Drosophila melanogaster: one gene and its partners. The protein of the gene in region 4 interacts with the protein of the main gene of each other region in a pairwise test. Each region holds a gene or a part of one and is shown on either strand. Other genes may lie near its edges.

Evidence for each region.
Region 1: the proteins of CG7191 (region 4) and Oatp58Db interact in a two-hybrid assay, tested with the Drosophila melanogaster proteins (one large-scale study listed by BioGRID).
Region 2: the proteins of CG7191 (region 4) and CG10336 interact in a two-hybrid assay, tested with the Drosophila melanogaster proteins (one large-scale study listed by BioGRID).
Region 3: the proteins of CG7191 (region 4) and Pex19 interact in a two-hybrid assay, tested with the Drosophila melanogaster proteins (one large-scale study listed by BioGRID).

The regions. Positions count from the first base shown.
Region 1 is NT_033778.4:22,218,907-22,226,199, reverse strand, and holds Oatp58Db (organic anion transporting polypeptide 58Db), read left to right. Parts: upstream 1-2,700; 5' UTR 2,701-2,735; coding exon 2,736-2,875; intron 2,876-2,930; coding exon 2,931-3,160; intron 3,161-3,219; coding exon 3,220-3,540; intron 3,541-3,600; coding exon 3,601-4,768; intron 4,769-4,824; coding exon 4,825-5,008; 3' UTR 5,009-5,020; downstream 5,021-7,293. Other genes in the region: Oatp58Dc (organic anion transporting polypeptide 58Dc), read left to right, coding at 1-286, 793-1,655, 1,717-2,168, 2,223-2,397; Oatp58Da (organic anion transporting polypeptide 58Da), read left to right, coding at 5,336-5,517, 5,573-5,802, 5,856-6,170, 6,234-7,075, 7,134-7,293.
Region 2 is NT_033779.5:18,686,316-18,692,693, reverse strand, and holds CG10336 (uncharacterized protein), read right to left. Parts: upstream 3,167-6,378; 5' UTR 2,984-3,166; exon of another isoform or gene 2,918-2,983; 5' UTR 2,901-2,917; coding exon 1,977-2,900; 3' UTR 1,788-1,976; downstream 1-1,787. Other genes in the region: CG10383 (uncharacterized protein), read left to right, coding at 1-449, 514-1,577; msl-1 (male-specific lethal 1), read left to right, coding at 4,269-5,507, 5,568-6,378. UniProt on the Drosophila melanogaster protein: Required for normal progression of S-phase. Important for cell survival after DNA damage or replication stress.
Region 3 is NT_033779.5:12,089,475-12,097,535, reverse strand, and holds Pex19 (peroxin 19), read right to left. Parts: upstream 5,715-8,061; 5' UTR 5,410-5,714; exon of another isoform or gene 5,178-5,409; intron 3,849-5,177; 5' UTR 3,675-3,848; coding exon 3,626-3,674; intron 3,543-3,625; coding exon 3,425-3,542; intron 3,359-3,424; coding exon 3,055-3,358; intron 2,989-3,054; coding exon 2,825-2,988; intron 2,768-2,824; coding exon 2,524-2,767; 3' UTR 2,301-2,523; downstream 1-2,300. Other genes in the region: Mt2 (methyltransferase 2), read right to left, coding at 1-840, 890-950; CG6712 (uncharacterized protein), read left to right, coding at 1,116-2,300.
Region 4 is NT_033779.5:7,765,272-7,775,454, reverse strand, and holds CG7191 (uncharacterized protein), read right to left. Parts: upstream 7,828-10,183; 5' UTR 7,738-7,827; intron 4,194-7,737; 5' UTR 4,136-4,193; coding exon 3,850-4,135; intron 2,387-3,849; coding exon 2,205-2,386; intron 1,991-2,204; coding exon 1,797-1,990; intron 1,255-1,796; coding exon 1,059-1,254; 3' UTR 422-1,058; downstream 1-421. Other genes in the region: CG46025 (uncharacterized protein), read right to left, coding at 10,089-10,183.

The DNA of each region.
Region 1 (7,293 bases), on a different chromosome or scaffold from region 4:
TTTCTCTACGGACCCGGCGAGGATGCACTTGCTCTGACCTCGGAGTTCGGCGGGATGCCCGATGAAAATGCCACAATGGAGGCTATCGAGGAGCAGCGATCCAAGACCCTATGCCGCTTGAATGGAGGAGGAGCGGAGTGCGAGGTCGGTGAAGGAAACTTTGCGCCCCAACTTTTGCTCTTCGTAGCGCAGTTCATATCTGGAATTGGAGGATCGCTATACTACACGTTGGGAGTGTCCTACATGGACGATAATACTAAAAAATCCAAAACTCCGGCTTTGTTGAGTGAGTAGCGCTAAACCAGTATTAACCAACCGGAATAGGAACTTACACAGCAATGATAGAGCAGGCGGCTAATCCCCTGTATCTAAACAGTTTTAGCCTCTAAGTGTTTACTAAGATTACATAAAGTTTTCGTAATCTTCCGAGGAAGTGCCGAATCATTAGGGCTGACTCAGTTTCTCATGGATTATGAGGTATAATAAAATGTTTCGAGGGAACATTTAAAAACGATGCATTGTTAGATACTTTTCGATATATAAAAAAATATATTTTACTCAGGCTTTCATACTTCAATAGAGGTCTATGTTTAACATAAGATAATAATATGATCTGTTTACAGACTTTGAAAAAATATTTTATTAGCGCCAGACAAACTAATGATGAACGTTTTGTGTTACTAACCTCAAAGATACGCTTATCTCGAAGAAGATAGCCATAATTTAATCACACATGAAAATGACTTCAGTAGAGGCTTTGAAAATTGCAATATTCTTTGCATCTATTTTAAGGTCTTTCATACTTTTTGCGCATGTTGGGTCCTGCCATTGGATACGCCCTGGCATCCTTCTGCCTGCGCCTGTATATCGCACCACAAATGCATCCGGTGATCAACAACAAGGATCCCCGCTGGCTGGGCGCCTGGTGGCTGGGCTGGCTGGTGATGGGCGGCCTGCTCTCCTTCTCGGGAGTTTTCCTCTCCATGTTTCCCAAAGAATTGCCCAGAGCAGTGGCCCGCCGGAAGGTGGAGGAGAATCGACGACGCGAAAAGGAACGACTGTCGGTGAAGAGTACGGAGAAGGAACGCCTTACTGCGGAACTGGATCAGAAGACTACCGCGGAAGCGAAGGCCTCCTTCCAGGACATGCTGAAAACCTTTCGTCGCCTGATCACCAACAAGACCTACATGTGCAATACACTCTCGAGCATTTTCTACCTAGTGGGCTATACGCCGTACTGGATATTCACGCCCAAGTACATCGAGGTTCAGTATCGCCAGTCAGCGGCCACTTCATCCATGGTCACCGGCACAGTGGCCCTGGCCTTCTCCGCCGTGGGAGTGCTGCTCTCCGGTTTTATCATCTCTCGCTATAAGCCGAGGGCTCGCTATATGGCCGCTTGGAACGTGATTGTGGGCTTCCTCACAGTTGCCGGAATCCTGGCCTACGCCTTCATCGGCTGTCCGGGAAATGAGAGTTCCGTGATCGTCAATATTCACGACAGCTCGTTAGCTGGCAACACTACCACATGCAATTCGGCCTGCTCCTGTGACTACGTCCGCTATTCCCCGGTATGCGGGGAGAACAACATGACCTACATCTCCGCCTGCCACGCTGGGTGCAAAAAGTTGCTCGTCAACTCCGAAGGAAAAAAGGTAAGTATTTACTTTGTTTAGCAAATTTTAGAAAAATGAAGCAGCAATTTTTTTTTGTTAGATCTTCTACGATTGCTCCTGCATTCCTAGCGATGATGCTGGTAATTCCACGAGCCAATTTAAGCGCCTAACCAGCTTCGATTTGAGTAACGATGAGGTTAGCCAGAACACCTCGGTTCATAGTCAGTTGGAGGCTCTAGCGAATGGACAGGCAATGCCCGGCGCATGTCCCGTAAATTGTTGGACACAATTTGTGGCCTTTTTGGCCGTGATGTGTTGCCTGAAGTTCGTGGGAGCCAGCGGCAGAGCCTCGAACTTCCTGGTTTCCGTGCGCTGTGTGCCGGAAAAGGACAAGACGGCGGCCATGGGATTCGGAATGACTCTGTGCTCGATGCTGGCCTTTATTCCTAGTCCTATATTCTTTGGCTGGGTTTTCGATAGGGTCTGTTTGGTGTGGGGCAAGACCTGCACAAATAAGGGAAACTGCTGGCTCTACGATCCGCTTTCCATGAGGTGAGCTTTAATATATAATGCTTAAATATCTATCTATAAAACTCGTTTCTTTAGGTACACTCTCAACTTCACCGCAGCTGTCTTTATTGCCATTGGAGCCATTTTCGATCTGGGGGTCTGGTACTACGCAAAGGATCTGAAAATCTTCGACGAGGACGTCAAGGAGGTGGAGATGAAGATCGTTCAGCACGAGGAGGAGGCCAACAACGAAAAGAATACAGAGATTTAGTCCTAAGTTATTATTACTCCTAAGTGCTGTGTGAGTGAGAGTCTTGGTGCCTTGATTTGTCAATATCCATGTGTGATTTCCAACGTAGAGTCCAGTACCATAATAAACGGTATTGCAACAGTAGAGCTCTGTGTACTCATATGGTAATTGCTGACAATTAACGACCAGATCCCGATTAGTAAGATAAAGCTCAGACGGACTTAGCTATAAACATGAAGGCCGCTATTCGCTATCTAGAAGCTTATTTTGTTTACCCCCAGAGGCAAGTTAATTGTATGCAGCTTGCAGCTGAGTTTGGGATTCAGTCTTTGGCAGTAGTTCGACAGTGGACGACCATCATGGCCAGTGAAGAGATCGAAGCCTCCAAGTTTCTGAAGGATAAAGAAGCCGGCATAAATGTGGCTGATGATGAAAAGAGGTTGAATTCTTCGGATACAACATGTGGCTTCTCAATTTTCAGGGGCCCCGCCTTACAGAGGTATATTATTCAGTGCTCTCTTTCGAGTTTCTTGTGATACCATCTAGATCTTTAGATTTGCGACTGCTCACATGTTCGTGATTGTGTACGGGATAGCTAGTTGCTTTCTGGCCATGGCCTTTACCTATTTCACTGGAACCATCACAACGATGGAGAAGCGCTTTAATATACCCACCAAGATATCGGGTCTCATTACGGTGGGCAATGATATAAGCACGGTTTTCTCGTCCGCCTTTCTGAGTTACTACGCTAGTCGAGGACATCGTCCACGCTGGGTTGCATTGGGTAACACACCTGAAATCACCGAATTGACTTCAGATAGCCAATCCTTTGCACTGTTTTAGGTCTCATCATTATAGCCATTTTCTGCCTGCTCATGTTGACCCCTCACATTTTCTACGGACCCGGCGAAGAAGCTTTGCGGCTGACAGAAGAATACGGAATGTCCGAATCCTTCGGTGCTTCTCTAAATATCACCGAAAAGAACGACTCACTGTGCCATGAAAAAAACTCAAATTGTCTAGAAAGAGCTGGGGACTACACGCCCATCGTGCTGTTCTTCATTGCCCAGTTCATAGGTGGAATCGGGTGTTCCCTCTTCTACGCGCCAGGTCTCTCGTACATGGATGATAACTCCGCAAGTTCCAAGACCCCAGCAATGCTAAGTATGGGATGGGTATGGGGATCTTTATTTTATTTTCACTTCCATTGTATATTTTGTAAAGGCTGGAGCTCCTTTCTGCGTATGCTGGGTCCTGCTATGGGCTTCTCCATGGTATCCTTGTGCCTCCGGCTGTATATCGATCCCTTCAAAAAGCCACTGATTACCACAAACGATCCGCGCTGGATGGGCGCTTGGTGGATAGGTTGGATTCTCCTCACATTCATCCTGACTATCTCAGCAGTGTTCGTGGGCATGTTCCCCAAAGAAATGCCAAGGGCCAAGGCCAGACGCTTGAAAGCAGATGGCGAGGAGGATATTCCGCTGGCTGGACGCTCCTTTCAGGATATGCTGGACTCGCTGAAACGATTGGCCTCGAACAAGGTGTATGTCTACAACATGCTGGCCTCTATTCTGTACTTGTTTGGCTACATGCCGTACTGGATATTCACCCCGAAATACATTGAGATCCAGTACAGGCAATCGGCATCAACTTCCACAATGGCCACAGGAACCTGGGCGTTGGGATTCTCTGCCGCAGGAATTTTGATCTCTGGATATGTGATCTCCAAGTACAAGCCAAGTGCCCGGGCAATGGCTGCGTGGAACTTCGTGGTGGATTACTTGACGGTGGCTGGCATGCTGTGTTATGTACTGGTGGGCTGCGACGAGAGTGATCGGGCCAATTCCCTGTCCATCGTGCCCACCGGTGACAGCTGCAGTGCCTCATGTGTCTGCGAGTATGTGTACTATGCTCCGGTTTGCAGTCCGGAAAATATTACCTTCATATCTGCCTGCCACGCGGGGTGTACCGATAAGGCCATAAATGAGCTGGGAAAGACTATATACACAGGTTGTCGGTGCATGGGCAACGTTTCTAGCATAATCTCTCTGTCTAATGTGACGTCTTTGGCATCCCAGTCTCAGATCGCCATGGATGGAGCCTGTCCGGTGGACTGCAACAAACAGTTCCTTATCTTCTTGGCCGTCATGTGCTTCCTTAAGTTCGTGGGCGCCACTGGGAGATCGAGTAATCTGTTATTAGCCCTGAGATGCGTTCCCTCGAAGGACAAAACCTTCTCCTTAGGTTTCGGCAGTATGGTGTACTCCGTGCTGGCCTTCATTCCCAGTCCCATTGTGTTTGGTTGGATGCTGGACAGCTATTGTCTTGTATGGGGAAAGACCTGCAGCTCCAAGGGTAACTGCTGGATATACGATACGAAGTCTCTCAGGTGAGTAGATCCCTAATGAAAAAGTGTAGAAGAAGTTAAGGCCATCTTTCCTTCAGATACACCATGAACCTCGTGTGCGCCTCTCTGATTTTCCTGGGCAGCTTTTGGAATATTGGGGTCTGGTATCATGCGAAGGACATGAAAGTCTTCGATGAAGACGAAAAAACGGTGCAGGCCAAACAGAGCGACGATATAGAGCTGAAGGAAAAGCCAAATGATGTTGTTACTAAAAAGAAATAAAAGCTTTCATACAAATTTTCTTTTTCTTTTTATCTATGTACATATGGGTACGTAACCCGCAGGTGGTAAAATGTTTGAGCGAGAATTTCGCACGTTTCCAAAATAGATACGAAAGAATGATAAGGAATCCCGTCAATTAAATGTTCTTAAAGTATATTTTCCATGTGTGGTATATAAATGTCGCTCGTCTGATCCCCACTGTCTAATCTGACAGACTTGATAAGATCTAAGGCTGTTTACCCATGCGATGCAGTTGGGTATATTGTTGAGCGATTTGATTAAGAGCGAGTCAGTGTGTTCGAGTTGTTCGCAGGTAAAAGTTGAGACATGACAGAGGAGCGAGGAAAGGTAGACTTGGAGAAAAGTGAAACTTTGCCCTTTATTGAAAAGCCATTTGCAATATCGGATAAAGAAAGGGAATCTGCTCCAGAGAATGAAACGGAAGGAGAAGATGGTGGAAAAGACACTTATTGCGGTTTCTGGATATTCAAGGGCCCCTCCATGCAAAGGTAAGCTCTAAGGTACTCTACAACTACCTTCATGCTTAGGAATCACTCTCTCCAGATTTGCCACTGAGCATATGTACGTTATTCTATATGGACTAGCTGGCTGTGTTATGACAATGACCTTTGCGTACTTTAACGGGACTATAACGACCTTGGAGAAGCGCTATAAGATACCAACAAAGGTATCCGGCATTATTTCGGTTGGTAACGATATCAGTACCATGCTAACGGCCGCAATCCTGGGTTATTATGCGGGCCATAGGCATCGACCTCGCTGGATGGGTATAGGTGAGTCCAGATCTGTGTCACTTGATTTGCAATACATATAGTGTCCCATTTAGGGTTGCTTACCATCGTGGCCTTTTGTCTGCTTACAAGCTCCCTGCATTTCCTTTATGGAGCTGGAGAAGATGCACTCCAGCTAACCCGAGAATTTGGACAGGTTAACGAAACATTGACGAATCAGGAGCGGGATAAGAAGTTGTGCCAACCAACTGCAGGAGGATGTGTGCAGGAGGAGGTTGGTCTGTGGGTGCCCCAAGTGTTTCTGTTTGCTGCTCAACTAATCTCGGGAGTGGGTCAGGCTCTGTTCTATACCCTGGGCATAGCCTACATGGACGACAATACCAGCAAGGCCAAGACACCTGCCATGCTGAGTAAGTGAAGGACTGTACGAGTATGAATTCCTTGAGGTATCCCAAGCATTATCACTTCACCAGGCATGTCTACCTTCCTAAGGATGCTGGGTCCAGCCATTGGTTACTCCCTAGCTGCTGTCTGCCTGCGCCTATACATTGAGCCCACCTTGGAGCCACTGATTGGGCAGGAAGATCCACGCTGGTTGGGCGCCTGGTGGCTGGGCTGGCTGGTCCTGGCTGCAATTACCTTGGTCTCCGCCATTCTGCTGTTTATGTTCCCCAAGCAGCTGCCCAGTGCCAGGAAGAGACGCCTTCAACTGAAACAGGATGAAAGGAAACAGTCACTGCCACTGAATGAGCGATCCCTTGCCGACATGATGAAGACAGTCAAGAAACTCTCGAAAAACAAGGTGTATGTCTACAACACAATGGCATCCATACTCTACTTCTTTGGCTACATGGTCTACTGGATATTCACTCCCAAGTACATCGAAACCCAGTATAGACAATCAGCGGCCATGGCAACCATGGCAACGGGAACAGTGGCTCTGGGATTCTCTGCCGCAGGAATCCTCATCTCGGGATACGTGATCTCCAAATACAAGCCTAGTGCCAGGGCAATGGCTGCCTGGAACGCCATTGTGGACTTTGTGACGGTGGCCGGAATCCTGTGCTATGTGGCAATTGGATGCGAGGGTAGCGACAGGTTGAATACCCTGACCACCCTGTCTGCCGGGAACAGCTGCAGTGCCTCTTGTCACTGTGACTACGTGCACTATGCTCCCGTTTGCAGTGCGGACAACATCACCTTCATCTCCGCCTGCCATGCGGGATGTTCGGAAAGGACGAAGGATGCATTGGGAAGGACCATTTACACAGGTTGCGAGTGCCTGGGCTCTTCAAGTTTGAACTCTGAACCAGAGGTGGGGGACTCTAGCCATTGGTTATTCCTTTTAAATGCATATGATTCCATGCTTTCAGTCCCAATTTGCTGTGGACGGAACCTGTCCAGTCGACTGCTTCAATGAGTTCCTTATCTTTCTGGGTGTAATGTGCTTCCTTAAACTCGTGGGAGCATCTAGTAAATCGACGAATCTGCTCCTAGCCCTGCGTTGCATGCCTCCAGATGAGAAGACCTTCG
Region 2 (6,378 bases), about 11 Mb from region 4:
GTTGGCCAATATGTCCCTGGTGCCCGATGCCGTGGAACATTTCTTTACGTCCGGATGGGTGGGCGCCCTGGCCGAGTGGCAACAATGCCCAGATCTCCGCCTGCAGGTGATCTCGGCTAAAACTATGGCCAATCTGGATCACGACGATCCGAACCAGTGCACGTATCCGCCAAATGTCTATCCCCTGCATCCACGAGTTCGCACCCGCAGGAAGCCAAAGGCAGACATTGTTTTCGTCCATGGATTGCTGGGAGGTGTTTTTATCACCTGGCGTCAGCGAGATAGAAAGCCCACTGAGCTGGGTCTCTACGGAAAAAACGCCTTCTATACCAGCGAAACAGACGACGTATTTCTGGTGGGTGAGCAGAAGAGACTCAGTGGAGGCAAACTAAAACCCGGCGAGGCGGTCAAAAATGTCAATGGCAACCAAAAGACAGAAACAATCAAAGGTAAATAAGAGTACTTATATTACCGTTTGTTTTTGACTAATTCACAATTTACTTCCAACTCTAGATCCTGTCTTGAAAGCTAGCAAAAAAGTGGAGGAACAGCGTCTGAACATTAGCGATGCTGCCACCAAGGAGTTCGTGGAGACACTGAGAAACGAAGCCGAGTTGGACTCGGATTGGGAAGTGGTCCATCCCGATGTTCCTCTTAATGCCAACGAGGAGTGCGAAGGAAAATTTAGTGTGTGCGGAAGCGAATGGCGGAACCAGGACACAAGTGAGGAGTACACCAACTGCTGGCCCATGGAGTGGCTGCCAGATGATTATCCAGATTCCAGAATTCTGGGCATAGATTACACATCAGCAGTCACAGAGTGGTCTGCCAATTTTACCAAATACTGTCCGTGTGAAAAGGGTCAGGGTCACATTGATGTGAGAGCCAACACACTGCTCGACAGGATTTCAGCGTCGGATGTGGGCAACGATCGTCCGATCGTGTGGATAGGACATTCCATGGGCGGCCTGCTGACCAAGCTAATACTGCTAAAATCCCTGGACTCCCAAGAGCCGAAGGTCCAACAGCTGACCAAGAACACTAAAGGCATTGTATTTTTGGGAACCCCACACCGGGGCTCACCAATTGCCAAGTGGAAGCAGCACATGCAGATGATCCTGTCTCCATCAATCGAGGTCAAAGAGATGGAAGAGAACTCGCCGAAGCTGCTGGAGATGCACCGCCGCTTTATGGGGTGCTTGCACACGCTACTGCGCCATGTAAAGGTGGTCAGTGTAGCTGAAGGATCCCCTACCATGTTGACCTCGTTCAAGTTCCCCCTGCGCATTGTCACCGAAGAGTCCTCTAAGATAGATTTCGGGGACTTCTATCTGCTGAAGGATGATCACTTGAGTCTCTCCAAGCCCATTTACAGGCAATCGTTTCTGTATCAGAGATTATTGCACGTGATCCGCGAGGCCATTAAGGAACGATCAGATCCCAAAGATCAGGATGGCCAGTCACAAAGCACTTCGAATCAAGATGTAGTGCTTGTCAAGATCGTAGCTGCTCTGTTGGAGGGAGCCAAGGGTCTGTTCGAATCGCTGCCCAGAGTCGCCCTCAGATTTAGCACTTAGGATGGGCCAAGTCCCACTAAACACCAGTACCCTAATAGTATCCCGACTAGTCTTTAAAGACTTGTAAAGTATTTTCTACACGAACCCTCACCATCATGACCATTCATCTTTGTAAATACTCCAGCACTCCATATAGTTTTTTACACCCGAATCCTAACTTATTATTCTCGGTCTCCGACTAAAACGTTTGAATAAAGATACATGTGTAACACTAATGCGAGTGGTTTTAATACGATTAAGGGTATATTTAAAGTGATATTCATCAAAGATCGAAGTACAGAAAAATCAATTTAGATATTAAGTACCGCGCATTAACTTTCAACGTAGCTTATTCATTTATTTTTATAAATTATCCTTTGAAAATTATAAAAATATGCGTTTTTATATCATAAATATACACTAACTTTTACTTCCGCTCTCCTGCTGCTGCTTGGCCTTAAGTCGCTCCTGCGCCAGCCTGCGGTTTTCCGCAATCCTGGCCATCTGTTCGTTGGATAATTTCTTAGCCGCCGGCGTGGGAGGCTGTGAGGGAGGCAGCGGCTGACCATAGTCGCTGATGTCCATCGATGCCAACGGAGCTCCATTCCGATCGAAGGCCGGAGCCACAGAAGCTCCACTTCTGTCGAAGGTCGCATTTACACCGGAGTACGGCGTGGACATTACAGCATTGCCGCGGGAGAATGACGGAGTAGCCAGCGTGCTGTTACTGGAAGCAGTAGACATTTTCCACTGCTGCGGGCTGGGAGGCGCCAGCCTGGACATGGCAATCTGTTCACCTAGCAGGGCGTCGAACTCATCAAAGGGTTCATCGCCGGCACCTTCCTGTTGCTCATCCTGCGCCTCCTCCAGGGCCTCCGCTTCGTGGGCGCGCATCTGCTCCAGCTGACCGAGTCGATATCGCGCCATGTGCACTTGGAGGGGTTTCTTCTTGCCCAGCCGTTCGATATTGTTAAGCACATCGTCAAAGGTGTAGGTGGGATACATACGATGGCCCCAGTGCTGCAGGCGGCGAAGCACCTCGTCGAGATCGGTTTTCTCGTAACCCTTGCCCTTGAATTTGATGTCCTTAAAATAATCTTCGATGGTCTGGATGCCACGAGGACCTCGAAGTGTTTCCACAGTGAGTCGCGGTCGGGGATTTCTCACAGCTCGCTTCTTAGGCTCCACTATCTGGGCATCCTGGCTACCAGGTTCTACGCCGTTGTCCTCGTCGTCCGCAAACAGCTTTTCGCCTTCGCCATCGCTGGGCAGCTGATCCGGGTCAGTCGGAATGTTGTCATTGAATAGGTCATCCACACCATCATCTCCGAACAGGGATGCCATAGAACTAGTGGCCGAAACTTAAATACCAAATAAACAATCTAACAAAATTTTGGCGCCAATTTTTGTTCTTCTTCTCTATCTACCATTCACAGGCGACGCTTGCATAAGTCACAGGGGGCTGCCAACTGAACAGCTCTTTGTTCTTTTAATTTTCCGATTACATAACTATTTGGTCTTTCCCAAAGGCTATTTTGATTTGCTTAGACATATTTTCATTAGTGGGTGGCACTAAAGGTAATTTGTACAGCCAACCCGGCTTTTGCATTGGTGGCAGCAGACATAAGAGATGGCAGCGTGACACGTTTTTTTTATCACTAAGCGACACATTGGCGTCACGAGTTTTTGTTATTCTATTATATTTATACCATTATACAAGGAAGGATAATTCATCCAAAGATTGTAGTTATTTAAATTTAGTGAAATATTTAAAAGGAGTTGGTAATGTAATAAAATTACCAAAAAAAATAAAATAAAATCAATACATTATTAGCTAGCTAGTTTCTTTTTCATCTATTTTCTCATTCCAATTACTCATACCACATAAAAATTGAAAATAATTATCCGGGGAGCAACGGAAGATTATTATTTACGTTGAGAGAAACTGTCCTCTTTTAACTGCTATCCTTGTGGTCTGGCAGAGTAAGAAATAAAAATGTGTTTAACGACATTTAGTCGGAGTTGACGAGCTGCCGCTCTTTATTCTGGTAACTGCAAATTTAAGCTGAAACTTAAAATGATTCTTAAAGCTAACAAAGACTCCGGCCCAATGCTGTCTCAGCACTTTGATATTATGTTTCATACACTAAGCCAACTGTACTAGTTCGTCGGCTCGTGTTAACTTAGCTATTAGCTATTATGTGCAACAAAGTACAGTTTCGTGAAAATATTTTCACTTCGTGACTGTCGTGCTCAGCTCGTGCATCGCAGCAAATTGCCATCTCTATGCCCCCAATCAACTCTGCGCTTTGGCGAAAAGTGGCAACGCCAGCAAAACGCCATACTTTTAAGAGCATTTTCGGGGCGACTTTACATTGTGAGGACAATTGTGGAAAAAGCGGTGAAAGAACGTTCAAAAACGAACCGAAAAACTGCTGCCTAAATGCGGTCACCACGTGCGATAAGAACGCCACGTTTAAAACGATAAATCCATTAGATTCTGGCCAAGAAAAGAGCGGTTCTTTTGCGAGGGCGAGCAAGGAAAATTTAGTGTGGTGCGAAATTGTAATCGGGATTCTACGCATTGTACGGCGTATCAGCTGAAGAGATTGTGTGCACCCCAAGCGACGCAAACAAAACCAAAACAAAACAAAAACATTTGGAGAATTATGAGATCGTAGGACCGACGGCACGGGATTCAATTCGACTGCCATGGACAAGCGATTCAAGTGGCCGCCCAAAAAGCGGGCCAACTACTTGGAATCGCCCTATCCCCACATACCGTCGCGTGGCCGCCAAAGGAATCTGCACGGCCATCCCAATCAGACGCAGCATCTTCATCAGCATCCCGGGAAGATCTATGAGCGCCAGCAATATGGCAATGGTCGTGGAGGACATGGCGGGGGTAATAACAACTACCGAAAGCTTTTGCATTCGCTGCCAGCTGAGCATGGTGGCGGAGCCATGGCTCCTCCTTCCTCCGGCGGAACCGTGTGTGCCGGCGCCGATATGGTCAAGCTCATCTCGGAGAACAACAACCTGAGGCGCATGGTTATGTTGAACTTAAACCTGATGCAGGAGCAGACGGACAGCATAGCGGCCAAGGACAAGGAGCTGGACGACCAAAGCGCTAAGATGAGCGTGGTGAAGGCGCAGAATGAGGAATTAAAGCAGGCCGTTGCTCAGTTGGAGGCCGCCAACCAGGAACTATGCAAACAGCTGCGGCGAAAGAACCAGCGAAGGAACGACAATGACGACGACGACGATGATCCCCCACTGCCACCTGCTGCCCCGCAGCAGAAGTTGATACGTTGTCATGCTGAGACGCAAACTGTGTTTCGGGAGCGGGAACAGGGCACACAAACGATAGATGCGCAGCCTCAATTCGCGAATGCACTTCCCAGGGGTATCAACATGAAGGAGTCTCCCGCTCTGGACCATCACGCTGGAGCGGTAACGAATCAGCCAGCCAGCAAACGCTCGGAGAGCAAAGGCCGCGGTGAATTCAACGGTAAAAAGGTGAGCACGTTTATTCTCCAGCGCATGAATCAGGACTTCGAGCACCACATCCACGAGCAAACGGAAGTAGCAGAGGAGCACGAGATGGAGGCACATAAGGAGCAAATATCTCAGGAAGAGGACCAACTGGTCGCTGAGGAAGATCATCTGCATATGCAAGAAGTGCACACCGAGGAAGTCGTTGGAGGCGATATCTTTCATGATGCTTTGGAATCAATTGAAATGGAAGTGGTCACCGAAGAGCTGGTTGATATGGAGGAGCATGGACAGTCCGTGGATGCCAACGGCCATATCGAGGAGGATGATGACGAGGACGACGAAGATGACGAGAATAGTGATAAAGACGATGACAGTGAAGAGGATGATTATCCGTGGATGCATAGCGATGCGGATGTAAACGCCAGAACTGAGGAAGAGCTCTGGCAGAATCAGGTATGTTTAATGTTATTATTTAATTAAAAGAATATATCGAGCAATCCTTTACTCTTTCAGAATTACCTTTTGGAATTGGACCCGACGGAGGAGAAGACCTGTGCGCCTTCGGCCCATTCAACTCCCAATCACCAGCAGAAGTCTTCGACACAGGCAGAGATAAGGAAAGAAGGAAATCAGAATCGGATAACTGAAAAGTTGTTGCAACTAAAGCCTGAGCCAATGGTAGATGCATTAGAAGCGCCGATTCTCCCGAAGTGGGTGGCTTTTAAGAAAAAGGATAAGGAACATGAATCAGTCCCCGAGTCCCCAGAAGTACCCAAGCAGCAGCCGCATCAGGAAGATGCCATCGTTGATCATAATGCAATAAAGAATCAGTTGGAAGTTCCCAAGCCGGACTTAAAACCGAAGGACCAGCCCAAAGACGAACAGAGGCAGGATGGGCAGCTGGATGTTCGCGTGGAACCACAAGAGGATGTTCGTAAGGTACAGAAGGAAACTCTGAAAAGGCAACCAGAGGATGCACCTAAGCACCTTCCGAAAGCGGTAGCCCCAAAGGTTACGAAAACATCCTCTCGAGAAAGCACGTTGCCCAAGGCAAACACCGCTGACATAAAAGACGCTCCCGCTCAAAAAGTAATAGCCAACCATCAGTCCACCAAGACGCAAACGGATCCTGTAAAAACGCAGCGTTTGCAGGTTAAGATCAGGCAGTATGAAATGCATCCTGACATGAGAACCGGCTCCTCCGCCCCGTCTGATATTCGGAAACAAAAGAACGTTGATCCAGTTTCGACGCCCGAGACGAAAACCATTAAAAGTAAAAGTATGTTGGTCAATGATAAAAAGACCACGTCGGAAACGTCTCAGA
Region 3 (8,061 bases), 4.3 Mb from region 4:
CTTCCCGTGGCGTGAAATAGCGCAGTCTCACCTGGTGCAACAGGTCCAAGCGTTGCTGCAAAATCTTCTCCGACTTCGATGCATCCTGATTACTTGTGTCAATTTCCTTGACCAACTCGAAGATGCGGTGGGATTCGTCCTCCGAAAGCGGTGTGTATGCAGAGCCCGTGCCCTCGGTGTAATGGGTGTAGCCCTTTGTAAAGCACATGGATCTACTTTGAGCAGGATGTATTATGTCCATGACCAGCACTCTTTTGGTCAAGACATCGTCGGGCACCAGGAAATCGGGTGATACATTTTCCTCCACAATCTCGGCAATTTGTGAAAGACCCTGATTCTGGGCTATAGCACCCGGCATTTCTTCCCAGATCTTTCCACCGGCAAATGGAAAGTCTGCACCCTTGCGGGCGATGCAATAGTAGCGATATCGAGTATTTGGCACATTGAATTGCGTTGGCGTTAGAATAAACTCCCGCCAATGGAATCCCGACCGCTCCAGCGATTCAATAAACTGATTTCGCGCCTGTGAGCTCTCGAAACCCTTGACGTTTTCCATGAGTATGTACTCCAGTTCCTGGCACTCTGGGATCAGTCCACACAGATGAGTAAGTGCATCCGATCGCTTGTCTTCCGTGTCCCTTTGCAATCCCTGGCGAGTGTGGGGCTGACATGGCGGGGACATCAGCAGCATGTTGGCCTGAAGCTTTGTGACTTCCTTTACACTCAGGCTTTGAATATTCCTAGTTTTCACCAAATTACTGCCGTAATTGTGCGCATAAACCGCATTGGCCACGGTGTTGACATCCAAGGCGGCAACTATTTGTCCATCCAATTGGGCATCTTCAAAAGTATATATTAGTTTCGCATGTATCATGATCGACGAACTCACAATTAAAGGCATAATGCATGCCGCCAATGCCACTAAATAGTTCTAAGACCCGAAATACCATTTTAATTAAATATATTTTTGTTTACAAACTACACGTTGTGAGTGGCACGTTTTCCAACACTGCCCCACACAGCAGATTGTCTGCGTTTCCGTGTGATTGGTATAAGAAGAAGAATATCAACACGTGCCGCTCGCATTTTTGTGAATTCGTGATTCTCTCGGAATAATGATAAAAATTAAGCGAAAAACAGCCCCTCCGCCCGTGGAACAGGACTCGGACAGCGATTCCAGCTTTGACGAGGAGGAGCCACAGGATTTGGAAGTCCAGGAGGGGCCAGTCACTGATAGCAGCGATGAAGAAGCCGCCTCCAGCAGCAAAAAAACGGCCAAACAAGGGGAAGCCAGTGAGGATTTAAAGGAAGAGGATGATGACGACGATGAGGAGGAGAATGACGACGACGACGAAGAAGAGGATGATGACGACGACGACGACAAGAAGACACGAATTCCTGTTTTGAATCCCCTCAGCTGGATGCGCAACAAGGAGCAGCGTTTGGCGTTGTACAAAAAAATGAAGAAGGAGAAGCACAAGAAAAAAATGCAGGAGCGCCGTGCCCGACGGAAGGCTGGTGTACCCGCCAATCCTGGTCACACCATAGAGAGCCTGCGAGAGAAGGACCAAACAGAGGTGGCCAATCTGAACGATTCCGACAACGAGGAGTTGCAAAAGGAACTCCAACTGGACGATTTCAGCTCGTACTTCGAACGTTCGTACGAGCCAAAGGTGCTGATCACTTTTGCTGACAATCCGGTGACCAAGACGCGTAAGTTTGGACTGGAGCTTTCGCGCATATTCCCCAACGCCCTGGTTAAGATTCGCAACAAGTCGTCGGTGAAGAAGATATGCAAAAGCGCCGAGCGCGAGGAGTTCACAGACGTCGTGATCGTTAACGAAGATCGCAGAAAGCCCAATGGGCTGCTGGTCATTCATCTGCCCAATGGTCCCACTGCCCACTTCAAGCTGTCCAACGTGAAGCTCACCTCGGACATAAAGCGCGATCACAAGGAGATAACCAAGCACAGGCCCGAAGTGATCCTGAACAATTTTACCACACGTTTGGGTCTGACCGTGGGCCGCATGCTGGGTGCCCTCTTCCATCACGATCCCGAGTTCCGCGGCCGCCGAGCGGTGACGTTCCACAATCAGCGAGATTACATATTCTTCCGTCACCACCGCTACGAGTTCACCAAAGAGGGAAAACGCGTAAAGCTGCGCGAACTGGGGCCGCGGTTCACCCTGAAACTACGTTCCCTGCAGGAGGGCACATTCGACAGCAAGACCGGTGACTATGCCTGGATAATCAGCAACAAACGGCACGCCATGGAGTCGCGACGTCGCTTCTTCCTCTAGGTGTATTTCGAGGCATTGTATTTAGGTATAGAACTACTTAATAAACCAACAGTTAATACGAAAATAATAGCTTGATTGAAGAGAGAGGTGATAACCATTAGCGACCGCCGTATTGTTTTGTCGGTGATAAAATAAAATACAAATTTGCCTTAGCCTAAAAAATGTGCAACACTCAACAGTTAACCAATTGGCACACCACGAGACTATCGTGCTCCGTCAGCCACTACATGGTTGGGCACTGGGGACCGGGACCGCCGGCTGCTACGCCGGCAGTGGGATCGCCGAAGGGCAAGTCGCCGCCCGTCTCGGCCAGAATCTCTGGCGGCGGCTGGCCGTAGTCTTGCAGTTTGCGCATGTCGTCCAGCACGACGCGGAACTTCTCTCGCTTCACGGCGGCCGAATCCTCGGTCTTCTCGCTCTGTAAATGCCCCTCAATCACCTTGTACAGCTCCATCTGCTTCTGGTACCTGTATGTATTGGTTTCTCAATAAAAGTATCTTATTGCGAGTTGATTTCGAGCATACCTTTCCTTGTCCTCAGCGGAGAGCTTGGCGTCGTTCTCCTCGAGGTACTTGGGGTACTTCTCCAGCAGCTCCCGGATGCTGGGCAACAGAATCTCCGCCGAGAGCAGGCTCTGCATCATGCCCTCCATGAATGGTAGGAACATGTTTCCATCACCCTCGCCAGCCTGTCAAACGGGGATTGTTTAATGATTGAGCAAGGAGAATTCATATTTCATTTTCAGGATGCATACCCCTTCAAGATTCAGTGAACCAAACATGCTGGCTATGTCGTTCTCCGAGGCGGGAGCAGCCAGGTTCTCGGAGCCCTCTTGCAGACCCTTGAGAGCCTGGGAAATGCTATCAGAATACTTGGAGACATCCTCGTCGGTGGCCGAATTTTCGCCGCTCAAGGTGAGCGCTGCCGCTTCGGCCATCTTTTTGAAACCGGCCATGATCTGGTCGGGATCCTGGGGCAGCGGCGGAATATCGCCACTGGGCGTGTCCGGACCTCCGAAGAGCGTGTTCATGCGATCGGCCAGCACCTTGGCCTGCTCACTGAAGGCGGATAACAGGTCAGAATACAAAGTTCAAGTGCCGCGTTGCACTGGCGCATTGACTCACATGAAAAACGCATCTGGATCCTCGGAGCCCTCAGGTCCAGCGTTGGTCGCCACATCCGATGATGCGGACGGCTCCTTTTGGTCACCGGCACCACTTTTATCGAAATCCTGGAGAGCACCTGTGCGAAAAGTGGACGACGCAGTGCGCATTATGTAAGGGGTCGAGAAGGGATCGCCAAAGGCATTTCCGGGCTGTACTCACTGTCCAGCAAGTCGTTTAATTCATCGCCATTCTTCTTTTCTTCGGACATTGTGCAATTTCGGGATGCTTTTCCTTGATTTCGTGGTGGGTGGGAAATGGTAAAAAATAAAGACTGACTGAATCAATCAGTGGGACCGTTCATCTGCTGCTGGTGCATACCGCAGTCAGCTGAACAGGTGTGGCTACACTGACTCACATCTTAGTGCGACCGCATTCGTAACGGCTTTTTAAAAGGATGCGAAATGATAAGAAAAAAATTTAAAAATTAACTTTTCTATATAATTGTTGGTTTTAATTTTAAGATTTCAGTTTCGGTTAGGGCTTAGACAAAATTCATATTACTTAAACAACTTTTAAATGCATTTAATGTTTTTTTTAAGAAAAATAGCTATATTTTGTTTAATTTTTAGTAAATATATTCCTTAAATTAAGAATTCTTATTTGTTACTATTATATAAAGTTCAAAACAAGTTCAGAATACCTATTTCGAAATAATCTGGAATGCATTATTATTGTGGACTACACATAAGTGTGAAAATGTCTAGCCATTTAATTCATATAACATATATTTATTGTCAATGAAAATTTCGAGTTTTGATTTAGAAAATTATATGTCTTACAACAACAAGTCATCAGTACACCCATCTACAATATAATAGTGTACATATTTAAATCTAGGCCTACATCAGACTAATAAACTTAAATTCGAAGCACCTCAATATCCCTCCTGTCTTGAGAGACAAACCAAGGACATTAGTCGAAGATTATCTAAAATAATCACCCAAAATATTTACGCATCTTCTGCGAAACTCTCAGCCAATCTCCCCGGGAATGGCACCTCGCTGTGCGCGGACGGAGATCGGCGACCAAACTGCGACCAGAGCCCAAACCGCACATACTGAGTGGTGAGGGAGGGGTCGCAAAACCATCAAGGTCACGGCGCGACGCTGATGCGCGACCAATTCCGAAACCAGAACGTCACACCCATGGACGGGACACATGGATTTTGCAGTAGGGCGTCCAGCTCTAGGTCCACTCCCGCCCGAAGGTCACCGCTGCGGAGGAACCCCGCTTGGTTTCCTCAATTCCGCTCATATGGTCAAATGGCTGGGCTGGGATGGGCTGTGCTCTTTGCGACTTTAACCGCACGGTTTACCAGAAGAGCAAAACGAATCTTCGATTCGGTACGCCCACGCAGCGAAGTATTGTGGTAAATTTGTGTTTTTTCCTCTATTTCCACTATTGGGGCGGAGTTTTCTTCGGTCAGTCGGTTCTCTGAAAATGTCAGCATGGGCGGAGCTTCGACTGAAATAATGCATAATTTGGTGTTTTATTTTGCGGCTTAGGGTGGAACAAACCGCCTGAAACTCTTACATTTCCTACAGAAACAGGGTAATTTGACTTTTTATGGGCTGTAATCCATTTACAGAATATGCATACATATAACATCAAAAATTTCCCTAAAAACCATAACTCTCTTTTTAGGGAAAAATTTCATTCTCTATTCGCTGCGAACATCAGAGTATATAGTTCAACTTCAAATTTCTTAGAACCCAAGCAGTTCAGTTCAAAAAGTCAAGACAACCGTCAAAAAGTCAAAACAAAAGTCGAAAACGTAAAAACCCCTTCGTTGGCCAAAACAATGGTTTTTGGGTCACACTCACACCCGATCCCAATAAACCAAGAAACTCGCTCTTTTTTGACATAATTTTTAAGGCACCAACAGGCGCGTCATAAAGTTGTTTATTCCGATATAATCGGTTTGCTAGACTAGCTGAATTTACCTGAATCTCCAGCTCTATTTCCCCAGAAGAGGAAGGATTCCAACCGTCATAAAATGCCCATCAGCGTCTTCACAAGCATCTACACTTCCCTTCCTTTTTGCAGGAACTTTGCCAGGATACGATCCTGTACATCCTTTTCATATGCTGACTGCGATTTCACGCTCGCTGATCGCATCGCTATTTTTTTCAACATTTCCGCATCCTTCCAGCGAAAGATGCTCGATTTTACGATGCACTGAACAGGATATAATGGATTTCGCGATTGTTCGGTAATGACGATGATTGCGACTTTATAGACACATTATTTATATTGTGGCTGGTGTCGTGTGGCTATGGTAATAAAGTGTAAATAATAAGTATATATAAAGGAGTAAATAAATTAAGACACTAAATATATGTAATATATATGTAATATAAAAGGAATAAAAGTTCTTTAAAATAAAAAAATTATACTAATTAAATTAAACTCTGATTCTAGAAATCTGAATGTTACATTACATTCAAAATAACTTGTAGCTTTAGTACACCTTGTATTAATCATTCAAGTATCACAAAATATAAGATATTTATATATGTTTCGACATATTTTTGTGTCTGGCCAGGATGGCATTATCTTTTGATATTTTGGCCATGGTAATTGCGATTACAAGGCTCCCAGTCATTCCTGGAAAACGCTCACTTTTCCTTTGAAATCCTGCCCCGAAAAGAAGAACTGGAGAAGTCAACTGCTGGCAGCTTCCCGAAAGACAAGACACCCACATCCACCATCCAACATACAACATCCACCATCAACCATTGCGCAATGGGGCGAGCTCTTCATGCTCCGACACCCATCGCTCTCCATCAAAGTGGCCATGCAAATGAGCCCTTGCGTCTGCCATACGTTTTCCTCTAGAGGATTGGGTCGAAGGGTAGCCGACTCCAGATGATGTGGGTTGCTCTGTCTGTGCCCCCCCAGTCGCTGTTCTGTTTGATTAAGCGGAAATTAAGTGTGCGTTTCGGTTGCAGCCTCCCAATTCGCCATGCCCTGCTTTTTTTTTATCGTGAACTGCAGCACATATATGTTTTATGTTTCCCAATCGATTTGGTGGCTCAAGAGCTGCTTTTGGCTTCCTCAGGTCAAATAGTTTTTATTACAGTGGTTAGGAATTACTCCCAATTAAGTTTCATAGAAATTATAGATTGCTAAAACATAAAACCACTTCTAAGTAGGACATCATGAGAAACTTTTTAAGCTCTTCGCATAAAACTGAAGATTCTTTCCCACTAATGTATAAATAATCACGGTCTCTGCAGTCAATTTTTCCATTGGCAATGCATTTTTTTTAATAGAAAACGCCGACCGTAGCCAGTGATTAATGAAACAATTGAATGATTTTATTTAAATTCGCATATATCCGATGCAAACCGTGGCTAATGGACAAACGCCGCCGAAGAGAAGATCCAACATCTCCAAATCGAGATTCCATAGAAACACTCGGGATGTGAGAAAAACGCCACCTACTTTGTGGACTCTACGCCGAGAAAACTAATGATGTTCTTTCGCCATCCATCGAGTTTGTCCATTATAGTAGAGTATATGATCGATCCGCGATCGAACCTGATCGACTACCACAAAGCAGGGCAATTACAAATCGGGGAACTGGACAACAGGTTGCCGGCTGAGTTGGGAAATATGGATGTGGATGTGGCTCTGTGACTCTGGATGGAGATGGAACCCGGCCGGAAAACAAATTAATCTTGTTGACGTCGCAGCCTCGTCACTTTCTTCGCCAGGTCGAGGGCCCAGGTGTTTGATCTCGACCTGATGCTCCGATGCTACGATCTTCTGTTGGACAACGATGGGTTGCGCCTACATTTGCGCCTTCTGTTTAATGATCAATTTGTTGGCCTCCGTCGCCGTCTCTCAGATGTGTGCCGACAGCGTTTAGCAGTCGATTGGGCTCGGGATTGGTTTGTTTGTGCCCCGAGTTGCCGGGTTTGTTGTGCCCCAGGCTAATGAGTTTCTCGAAAGTGGGTGTATGTGGCAGGGGCTCCCCTTTTTGCCCCTGGGACACTTCCTACATGATCGGCGAAAATTCAGCCAGACTCTGTGACGTCCCAATACACAGGAAGATAATCCCTTTCAACTAACTAACTATTTATTATTTAATTTATAGCTTCTTCATTCTTATACATTTAGGTACTGAAAAATATATATTCTTAAGCAATAATTATACAGAATATGAATATTTCTTTGCATGAACAACATTTGCTAAGTATTTTCGCTGAGTGCATGACGAATGTCATGTGGTTGGAGTGCCAAAACCAAACGTTTGTGGGCAGAGGCGCGAAGTTTCCACCAATTGCGATCGAAGGTATATATGCTATGAGAGATGCTAATTTAAGGACAATGGAGTTCCGGGGAAGCCAGCTCGCGACCCACAAACAACTAATGCCTTCAATTAGCCCGGCTAAACTGCTACCAAGAGCAAGGGTTAATCGCCCGGAGATCGGGAAAGGCCCTCAGCTTTCCGCCCACTTTTTGTCGTAGAGTGGGCGTGGGCTGCGTTAAGCCGCAGCATTTTTTCGATAACTACCTGGACATGGACTCCGAGTTGGCCCGACTCGTCCTGACCCACCCAGATTGCCATGGGCCATGGCAAATCGTTT
Region 4 (10,183 bases):
GCCACATTGTTTTCTCAGCAAACACTGAGCAATAGTTGGCCGAGAATCTCGGCCCCATTCAATCTCAATGTCAGGGTGGCACTTTCGCACTTCCGCAGATGTGTTAGTTGGTTCCATTTACAATCGCGGTACTTATTTGGTTTAAACAATGAGTCGGAGTTGTTGTGGAAGTGAGAAACTATTGAAGATCTGTTCAATTTACTAGCACTAATTACACCAAAGAAATAGTTCCATCCTCCAATTGTACATAAACATTTCAAAATGTAGTAGAAAAGTAGATTAACTCTTAAAATTTCGAGTTTTTATTATTATTTTAAGAGTATAGTATCAATGATACATGATGATATGCTAGGAAATGCTTAATCGAACCCTTAACGTCAATTGAAAACGCCTTATCACCATTTAATTGCATACGAATAATAGTATTTCATAAGTTTATTTGAAATATATATATATACTTCTCGACTTTACATTAAAGATAGTTTCAGTTAGTAAGTAGTTAACACGTACACATTTATATATTAATACACACATTTTCAATATTCTCGTATATACACACTGATTTAGCGTTGGGGATTGTGGATCCATTTATCTCATTATAATAATAGTGTAATGGACCGAGAAGACGTTACGAGACTTTAGAGTGATATGGCAACGTTTTGGAATTGTTTGGATTAGCACACGCGACGACCACAATGAAATTAACAAAAGGGAGCGAGCTACTATAACTTTGTTTATTTCGTTAGTATATACAAGACATTGAGAGTTATAAAAGTTTTAATTGTCTACAATTGGAATTAGGGGAGGCTTACAAGGGTCTCTAGCCCTAGTGAGATAACGAAGTATTTTTAGTTCAGCTCGTTTAGCTCTTTTAGACGGGTTAAGTTAAGTAGTTAGTAAATTAGTTAGGCTAATTGTTAGTGCTTGTTGTTCTCCAGTTTAGCGCTCGACTTTGTCAGCAATGTACAATTGATGCTTGGTATACATATGTGTCTGTCAGTGTCGTGTCTGTGTCTGTGTGTGTGTGGGCTAATGGCTTCCATCCCAGATCCTGTGCCTTAGCCCAGGAACCTAATGTTGGTGAAGACCGCCTTGGCCGGACGCTTTCGATTGCAGAAGTTAACCGTCTTGCTGTGATTGCCCTTGCGATTCTCGTGCAGATTGACCAGCAGCTTGAATATATCCTCCTTACTAGGTGTGCAGGCATAACGCAATTCCGGTTCATAGTTGCTGTTGATAGAATTCATGTAAGAACTGATAATGGTAATGGTTATGTAGTTAGCAAAATCGTTCACGCTTCGGCTATCAGTAATCAGTAATCAATAATCGATCTCTCAGTGGGCGGTGGGAAGTTCTGGGTGTCTGGTGTCTGGGCGCCTTTCGGGCCTAAAGAGACTCTGATAAATGCATTACATTAAGTTGTTCAAATTCAATAGACTACTTGGTGGGTGGGCGTTTTGGCAAGGATGCTCCTGAAATTGCCATTCTTTGCATTTTTTCTTTCGAGGTTCATGCTTTTGATTTACGTCAATTCGTTGCAATTGAATTTATCACATTTTTACTTTAAATTAAATCTTTCCATTCCCAAGCAGACGTATTGAAATTGGCAATTTTAGGATTTCCGTTCTAAGCTCTAAAAATATGCTACTTAATACTGCATAAAGACTACTGACAACATTTACTAACTACAAATGAAAAGTGGGTTCGATTAATTAGCGGTCAATGGAGCTGAGTATAGTGCTTGGTGGATTTTCGGATTATTGTGAATAATGTTTAAATATAGAAAAGCAACCTACCCGCGATTCTTGTTGTGACGCTTCCATGGATACCTTCGATAGTAGCGCGAACGCTTGGATTTGCTCTGGCCCAAAACCAAATCCTGAACGGCGTTCTCCAAGTCGGCGTAGTCCTCGGCTCCGCCGGAAGGAATCACAGCCTCCGGCTCCTCCTCCTCCACGTAGACCAAGGGCAAGGTTTCCAATGAGGGATCCTGAGCGAAAAAATGCACATAGATCAAAAAATTGTGTTAAAATTTTAATAAAAATTAAAAATATTATCACTTAAGTATGCATTACTCAAAAAGTTATTTATAAGCAAAAGCTAATATGTTTTGATGTTTATGTTTAATATTTTAAAAAAATTTAATTTACCGTGTATTTTTCAACATTTTCATCGAAATTTCGACAGCCTGTCTTCGCACTCACCTCCAGCATTTTCATGAGCAAAGCGGATTTGTCCACCAGCTCCTGCTCGGCACGCAAATCCTCCTCCATCTTCTTGAGCACCTCGAACTTGCTGGCCAGCTCGAGTTCGTTGTACACCGCATCCGCGTAGTCGGGACCTTGAGGAACCACTGCCAATCCGAGCTCCTGGGCGCGGAGTAATTCTGCCGTGAAATGAGCAAGCCAAAGACCTTATTTGCGATTTGAATGTTTATTCAAGCTGTCGCTAATCCGACCACAACCACGCCATTGCCATTCCCATTCCCACTTCCACTCCCACTCCCACTTAATTCCCCGACTCCTGCTCCTTGCCATCGGAAACTTCCGCCGTTTGATATTTGAAAGTTTGAATAGTTTGTTTGTCTGTCTGTCCTGGTTGGCTGGAATATGTTTTCCCCCGGCTCTTCGGTCGTTTCAATGGACTGGCGGAAATTGACTGGCGGCAATGAGTTTATGGCCACAGCATTCCTTTTCCCCTCCGCGGCAGGGGAAGCCTTCTCGGCTTTTCGACCACGTCCGTCAGTCAAGTCAACAGGCACTGCAACTCCTTGACTGCCTTTTGTCGCATTTGGCATCCAGTCTGCCCATCACTGTCCACTCGATGTCTCTTCAAAGAGCCGCAGACAGCGGACGCTCATGAACCCAAAGCATTTACAGTTTTAAATTTAAGGACTCCTCAATTGAAATAAATAGTTTCGAGATCAGAAACAGAAATAAATTTAAATTTTTGTTTCATATATGTATGTTTATAAGATCATGTCCAAAAATTCAAATGTTACCAACTCAAACCAAATCGATATTCGTTAAATTTCCAATCCATTTACCCATCTATCAAATCGCTTGGAAAACAAGTTCGCTTATTGAAAATCGGATATGACATTTTATTGCCGGTTGGTAGAAGGTAGGTGGTAGCAACGTAAAACGCAAACGTCGAATCAAATTCGTCAACAAATTTGAAAATCTATCCCGGGCAGTTTGGTGGGCGTTTTAAGTGCTCAGCACAAACAAACACATGCTCCACATATTGTGCGATGGTCAACAATGTGAGGCACTTGAAAAATTGTGCACTGACCGAAAATGTTCAGCGAGCGGTGGTCACCATGGCCATTAGGGATAGAGATGGTGGGCGACGGTTACGGCTAAGTGCACGCCATGGGTCACCCTAACTCTTGGTCCACCCCTTTCGAATGGGTCGCCTAAAAGTCGGCAAGCAAAAATTTTGAACGTAATCATGTACTCAGGTGAGGAGTAAATAGGAGGCCATAACTGCCATTAAATATTGAAAATATTTTAGAAAAATAGCTAAATGACAACAAAATAACTAGTTCATTTATTAAAGTTCCTGAACAGATTCAGTTCCAGTTCCTCAGCTTTATGGATCAGAATGCCTATTAATTTGGCTAATATAAATAAGGTCTATATATTTTTATAGGGCGATGGAATAGCTTGGTTATAGGATTCACCTTGACCACGATTACGTCTTCGCATTCAAAAAGAACCCGATAACAATTTAATTGAAATGGTCTTTGGATGCAGTTGCTATCCTTTTAATTCGACTGGGGATTAGCTGATGCCCGGGAAGTTTACCATGGCAAGGAAAGCGGTAATAGGGATGTTTATGACTCACCATCGCCGGGATCGTAAACAGCTCGTTCCTGGGCATCCAGGACATCGCCGGGCAGAGCGGGTCCTTGGCGAACGGGTCCGCCCCCGACCGCTAGAACGGGCAAATGAAGACGTTGTGGTACGGACGCCACGCCCTGATGGTCACCCACTTTGGCACCGTTTGCTCCGCCTGCTCCTCCGCTGGCGGTGGACTGTGCAGTCAGGAAGCCGGCGACGTGACGCGTCCTGCTGCACAGGATCGTGGTAGCCAGGATGCAGAGCGCTAGGATGTCGGGCTTCATGTTCATACAGCCTCTGCGGATGAGCTCGGGATTAGTGCGCGGGTCGTTGGCGATGTGGATGTCTCTGGAAGGCAAAAAAAAAAAAAGCGTAGATGTTTGTACAAGAGGGTAATTACCGTCACTACCACGGCCATGGGATGGATACCTACCCCATCCGCCCCATTATGCCGTGCGTGTGGGCGTCTCTTTGTGCTCAAGCAAACAATACTCAGATAAACACGCAAGCAACCAAGAAACCCCCGCCAAAAGTAGGAGAATCGCGAGGGAAACTGGAGAAATGGGCGGTGGGTGCCAAACGTCAAAAGGGCGTCTCTTGGATAACTTGGCGGCTGATTCTGGGGCTTTTGTTTTGCGCTCCTGCTTAATCTTTCTTCGCGCGAAGAACCGTGGGCCATACGGGCAAACAAATTCTACTCCTTTTCCACTAACTAAGGCCGTTATTTAAAAATTGGGTAAAAATATAAAGGTTGTGTACTTTGCAGACAAATAGTTAATAACAAAGACGGATGCAGTATGTTGTTTATAAAGTAGAAATTACACAATTCAACTATCAGAAAAATAATATATTTATATTAATATTCGAATATTAAAAAGTACTGCCTAATTTTTAACATCCCATTTATTTATAGACAAATGAAAGCTACTCTATAATTCTTGTAGATTTTAACGAAAGATGTTTCTAATTAAAATTGATAAGAATGCTATTACTTTTCGCATAGATTTCCACCACTGTGCAGTAGGTGTTTGTGTGCTTTTATAAATATTTTTTATGTCAGGTACTGCATCGCGGTTCATACTGGGCCCACTCTGTGCGCTTTGTCGTTTCATTTAATTAAGGATGGGACGTCGCCGAAGTGAGCGAGTGGGCTTAACTCCTTCGCAGCGTATTTTTAGCCCATTTAGCTCAGGAGCCTGGTTGTTGGGGTTTTGGGGAAACCCGCCAACCTTATCGCATTTTTTTGCGTTTAAAAAACATTCGCTTGACGAGCAATATAAATGAGTTGCCTGAAACTTTTGGCACTTGCGGTCTCGCTGGTTGAGATGTCTAGGATCGGCTTAATTTGTCTGCCCAAGCAACTGAAAATAATGTATGCCTAAGACAAATTTCGACAAAAAAGTGTGAAAATTTTCACCAAGAAATCCAAAGTTCATTATTTAATTAAGGGCTTGGTAAATAATTAAAGCGCTGTTTGCTGCGAAAGTTTAAGCGTCTGTTTTTTTAAGGAATTATAATTTATTACATAATTCTATAATTTAATAATATTAATCTTTATTAAAATATTTTCCAGAAAATCTGTTCTACCTCACAGATAAATACATTGAAATTAGCTCAATTTATATGGTTAGTTAACCACATAAATCAATCAAGCAAATCAACTCTGTCACGCCCTCTCAAAAAAATAAAGACGGTTGCATTTGGTTCATTAAAATTGCTCGGAGAAAGAGAAATTCTCTGTGGATGATTTTCTTTTCACTTTTCGTCACGTTTTGATTAAATTCAATTGAAAATTTGCAACTTTGTCAAAATATTTGCGAACAATGTTCTCTCGTAGATTTAGGTCTTTAAGTGCATTGCGATTTTCCTGTTTTTTTTTGGTATTAATTTTGGAAATAAATTGCAATTTCTTCGGGCATTTCCTGCAAGAAAACTTTTTCAATTACTCCTCTTTTATTGGCACTCACTTAAGTGGGCGACACTTTGGCGTTATTTTTGGGAAAGCACAACTTATTCGAAATTGCTGCGGAGAGAACGAATTATAAGTAAACAAAGCAAACACGAATCGTTGTTAAAATGCCTTAATTAACTTGTTGACACAGTGTCAAAAAGTGGACAGAGCCCAAAAAACAAAAAATAGGAAAAAAAAAGCAAAAGAAGGGAATTCACCCTGGTTGGCGATGTCCCCAAGGTAAAATGAAATTAACTTGGAAGCGAGGGAAGTTTCAGGAACCCATATATAATTGTACGTTCATTTTTACCCGTCGCCTGTTTTCCTTTTCGCAATAACCGCACAGCTAATTGCTAAATTGAGTTGAAGTGTAACCGAAACGCACACGAACCCAAAGGAATTTTCATAGGCCTTATCTGCCACTATATTCGCCTACGTACCACCTGGACATGTGTGGCGGAAAAACTGCTTAATTAGGGCTAAGGATGTGGAGTTGGTCAAGTGCATCGGACATTTTGTCGCCGGAGTCCGGCCAATTAGACACGGTCTACGTGCGTAACAATCCTGGGTAGGATATTACATAACTTTTCTACTTATTGAATCCGACCATCTGGGATACTTGTCAAAATTTGCACACAAAAGGTTACACAAAGTGTTTGAGCCAAACCAAAGGACCAGACAGACGGCAATGATTGCTACGAAAAATCAAAAAAAGGGTGCTAGCCAAGAAAATTCCATGAAATTCATAAGTATTTTTTTTGCAGTTTTAAATCCTCGCCAACTACAAAATCGTGTACTAATCTTTAATGAAAAGTATAGCCTGCGGAATGTAAGTCAATACCTCTAGATATACTTTTCAGTTGCTATGTCTAAAGAAATAGCACAACCAATTTCAGTAAATACATTCTCCAGGAGAAAATCCTGTGGGATGCTGAATTTTTGTGACATGAAAACAGCTTTGGAATGCTTTCGATTGATTCAGTTTTTTTTTTTAAATTTCTATACGATTGTCAGGAATTTTTGCACGTGGAACTTAAGGGGTTTGAAACAGAGAACGAGGTCGGGGACAACAAATATTGATGCTTTTTTCTATTTGTTTCTCCTAGATTTTCATTGGTTTATTGACATTTGTGTTTGGCATTGGTGGGAATTCCTTGAGTTATTGACATTGATAAAGTATTTATGGATTGCTGTCCCGAGTAACCTTAAAACCAATTTTCCCAAAATTTGTAAGCTCACCAGTGCAATGAAATGAATTTTTAAATTTAACTAGTTCAGCTGTGATGCTCTGTGCTTAAAAAGCTTGAACTTTAATAAATTAATAAAAATAAATTATTGTAGTTAAACATTTACAAGATTAGTATAATATATAAAATTAATCATATAAATGGGGTTTTCTTGTAAAAAGCGTTGGTGAAATAAAATAAGAAAATTTTACTTTTATTTTTGAAGAGAACTTACAATGGCTAGGCTCTATCTTTATGGTAATTTTCAGTTTTAAGCCAAAGGTAGTTTTGTGTTAAATATCTTCTGATACAATTCAAAATATAAGAGCAGATTAAAATAATTTACCAAAGAAAAAGTACTGAATTAATGAATTAAGTTTTAGCTGGCTTTTCTTTGCCTTAAAAATATTTCTGTATTATTAAGAACGAATTCACTTAATAGTTTTAAATATAAGAGTTCTCCTGTTCTTATTTGGCATATTTAATATATGTCCACAAATTGTTATTTATTTTTTTAGGCGCGTATTTCGAGTTTCATTGACGACACTGTAATCGATGACGAAAGCGACGGCATTACTAAGATTTCACGTCACGTTTAGTTATCCTTTTTATGAAATCGACTGGCTTAAATTAAACACAGACCACAAGATATTTTTTGGAAACTTCTTAAAGAGTTTGGCGTGACTGATATTCGAAATACACCGTTAACACTCACTTTAAAATATATTCCTGGAAACCGTTTGAGTTACTGAATCGGAATCAGAATCGGAATACTGTCAACTGTTGCACCTACTACTTGTTGAACACTGCGTGGTTGACTCGCGGAGCCGCTTCCTTTTATAAGGCCGCATCCGAAGTTGAAACCGATTCGTTGCCATCGTCGGCCGATGACGAGTGCGTCGATTTCAACGAGCCGATGTAAAGGCGCCAAAAATTGCGTAAAAGCTTCAAACAAGCTTTTACTGGCCACTCCTCCTTGGAAAACGAAGCCACGGCCGTTTTTATCAATGAAATATTTTGGGGACATTTAAAAAGTTTAGCGCGATATTCGCGAATGAATAATGTCGGTGGCAATTATTCAGCAGGATCACGATATGCGCCGCAAAGTAGACAACAAGTCGCGAAAAGACGTCACGTGGCAAGGTGATAAATTATCTGCGGGTTGGGGTGGATAGAAGCCTTTGTTGACGGCCCTGTTTACGGAAACGTATTCTGAATAGTCCGGGTCACTCGTTTCTCGGAATCTCGCCTTTCTGTGGGAGGTCTCAAAGTTCCTCAAAGGACCTGCCAAGCATGACGCTGCGGAAATCCCTGCAGGCCGGTAGTTTGGAAATGTATTTGAAAATTTCCAGCGAATCGCCTAAATGTAATTGCATTGTCATATTCCAGTGCAAAATGGTATTGTCATATTGCTGCACTTATGAATTAGGCAACGATTATATTTATAGATCGATGATGATATAGCCTATCAGTCAGGCTGATAAATACTGGAAAAAGATAAAAAATCTATTTAAATGTGGTAAACTCATAAAATTTAATTCGAAAGGGTTTGATGTCTGTTTTTTTTTTACCTTCTATTGGCGTTTATTAAAAAATAATCAAATTTTATATTTATAGCTAATGTGTATATTTAAAACATTTGCTGCCTAAACTTAAACGGCAATGGCCTCGGCCAATAGTCCATCCTTTCCGTCCGACTCCCAGTTGAACTGCAAATCCAAAAGGAACACGGCAATCGCAGAGGAGGAATCGAAGGGTCTGGACATCCATCCAGTCGGATGTCAACAACCGTCGCAGCCCGCAGGCCTTGAAAATGATGACACTTTAATGTGAAATTGCCGTTAGTAATGGAGGGCAATCCAAACGATCCTTCGATGTTTTCGTTATTGTTTTGAGTGTGTGTATGTATGTGTGTGTGACTGTGTGTTGTTTTGGCCTAAAAGGCGGGCCGGGAAAATAAGCATATATAGGGTTTTCTTGAAAATCGCCTGGGGCAACAGAAGATGACACTTACGCAGAGAAAACCAATAATAGCCCGCTGAAAAGTTTAAGTGCTCGCGGGCAGGGGAAAGTGTCACTGGATGGAGGCTTCCTCATGTAGCGCGGCAAAAGTCATATTTTTGGCCAGAACCTGCTATTTATAGTCGTCTTTATTTATTTCGTTCGCTCTCCTCCACTTCTTCATACTTTACGCTCCTTATGGCAAGCGGATTGTGCGACTTAAGTTGCATCAGTCCGAAGTCCACCCACCCAAATGGCCACCGATTCATCCAAATGCGTCACGCCCTTCTGGTTTGGCACATGCAATCTCGCCATGTGCCGACGTGCCAAACAAAATGATAAACAAATTAGCGCAGCTAATTACTCTGAAATTTGTGGTTGGTGTTCCGGGAAACAGAGCCTGATATGTCATATATAAATATATTTCTTATGAAGTTATAATGAAATTAATATATATCATCATATACATTTATTTGTAAAAATAAATAAAATAAATCATTACCCAAAAATCATTATACACATGAAAACTCAGCGGACCTTATCATTTACTAAATTAGTTTTCCGTGTAATCTTCTTTCGAGGATTCGGTTTTCAGAACACTATTTGGCCCGCATATCTTTCCGTTACGCATATCCGTATCGCTGAGCAAATATTTGTAGCATACTTGTCGGGCGTTGGCGAGTGAAATGTGCAATTGACTCACGCGTTTGTTTTTGGATTTTTCGGCCGCTTTATTTTTGTTGTCATGCGGGTACAATCAAGTCGTTACAGCTTTAATTAAACCCCATTGACAGTTATCAAGTTATCAACCTAAACGCTGAGATTGAGTGACAGTTTAGCTAACGTTTTTCGATTGCGCTACCTCTTCCGACGTCTAACAAACTGTGGTAGGTACCCCAGCCTAATTGATGTTTGCACGATTTGGTGAAATATCTGGACTCTCATGGATGGGAAACCAAATATTTTGCCAAATATTGTAGAACTCGCTAAAAACTGGTGCAGCAGGATAAACGACCAGCCGCTGTCCACCGAACGTAAAAAATGGTTTTATTCTATAGCTTCTCATTAGGCTTTGGCTGGCTCCTGGGCCTCGTGATCGGAGGAGATATCTTGTTCCGGCTCCTCCACCACCGCCTCCTCCTCGCACTCCTCCGGTGCCT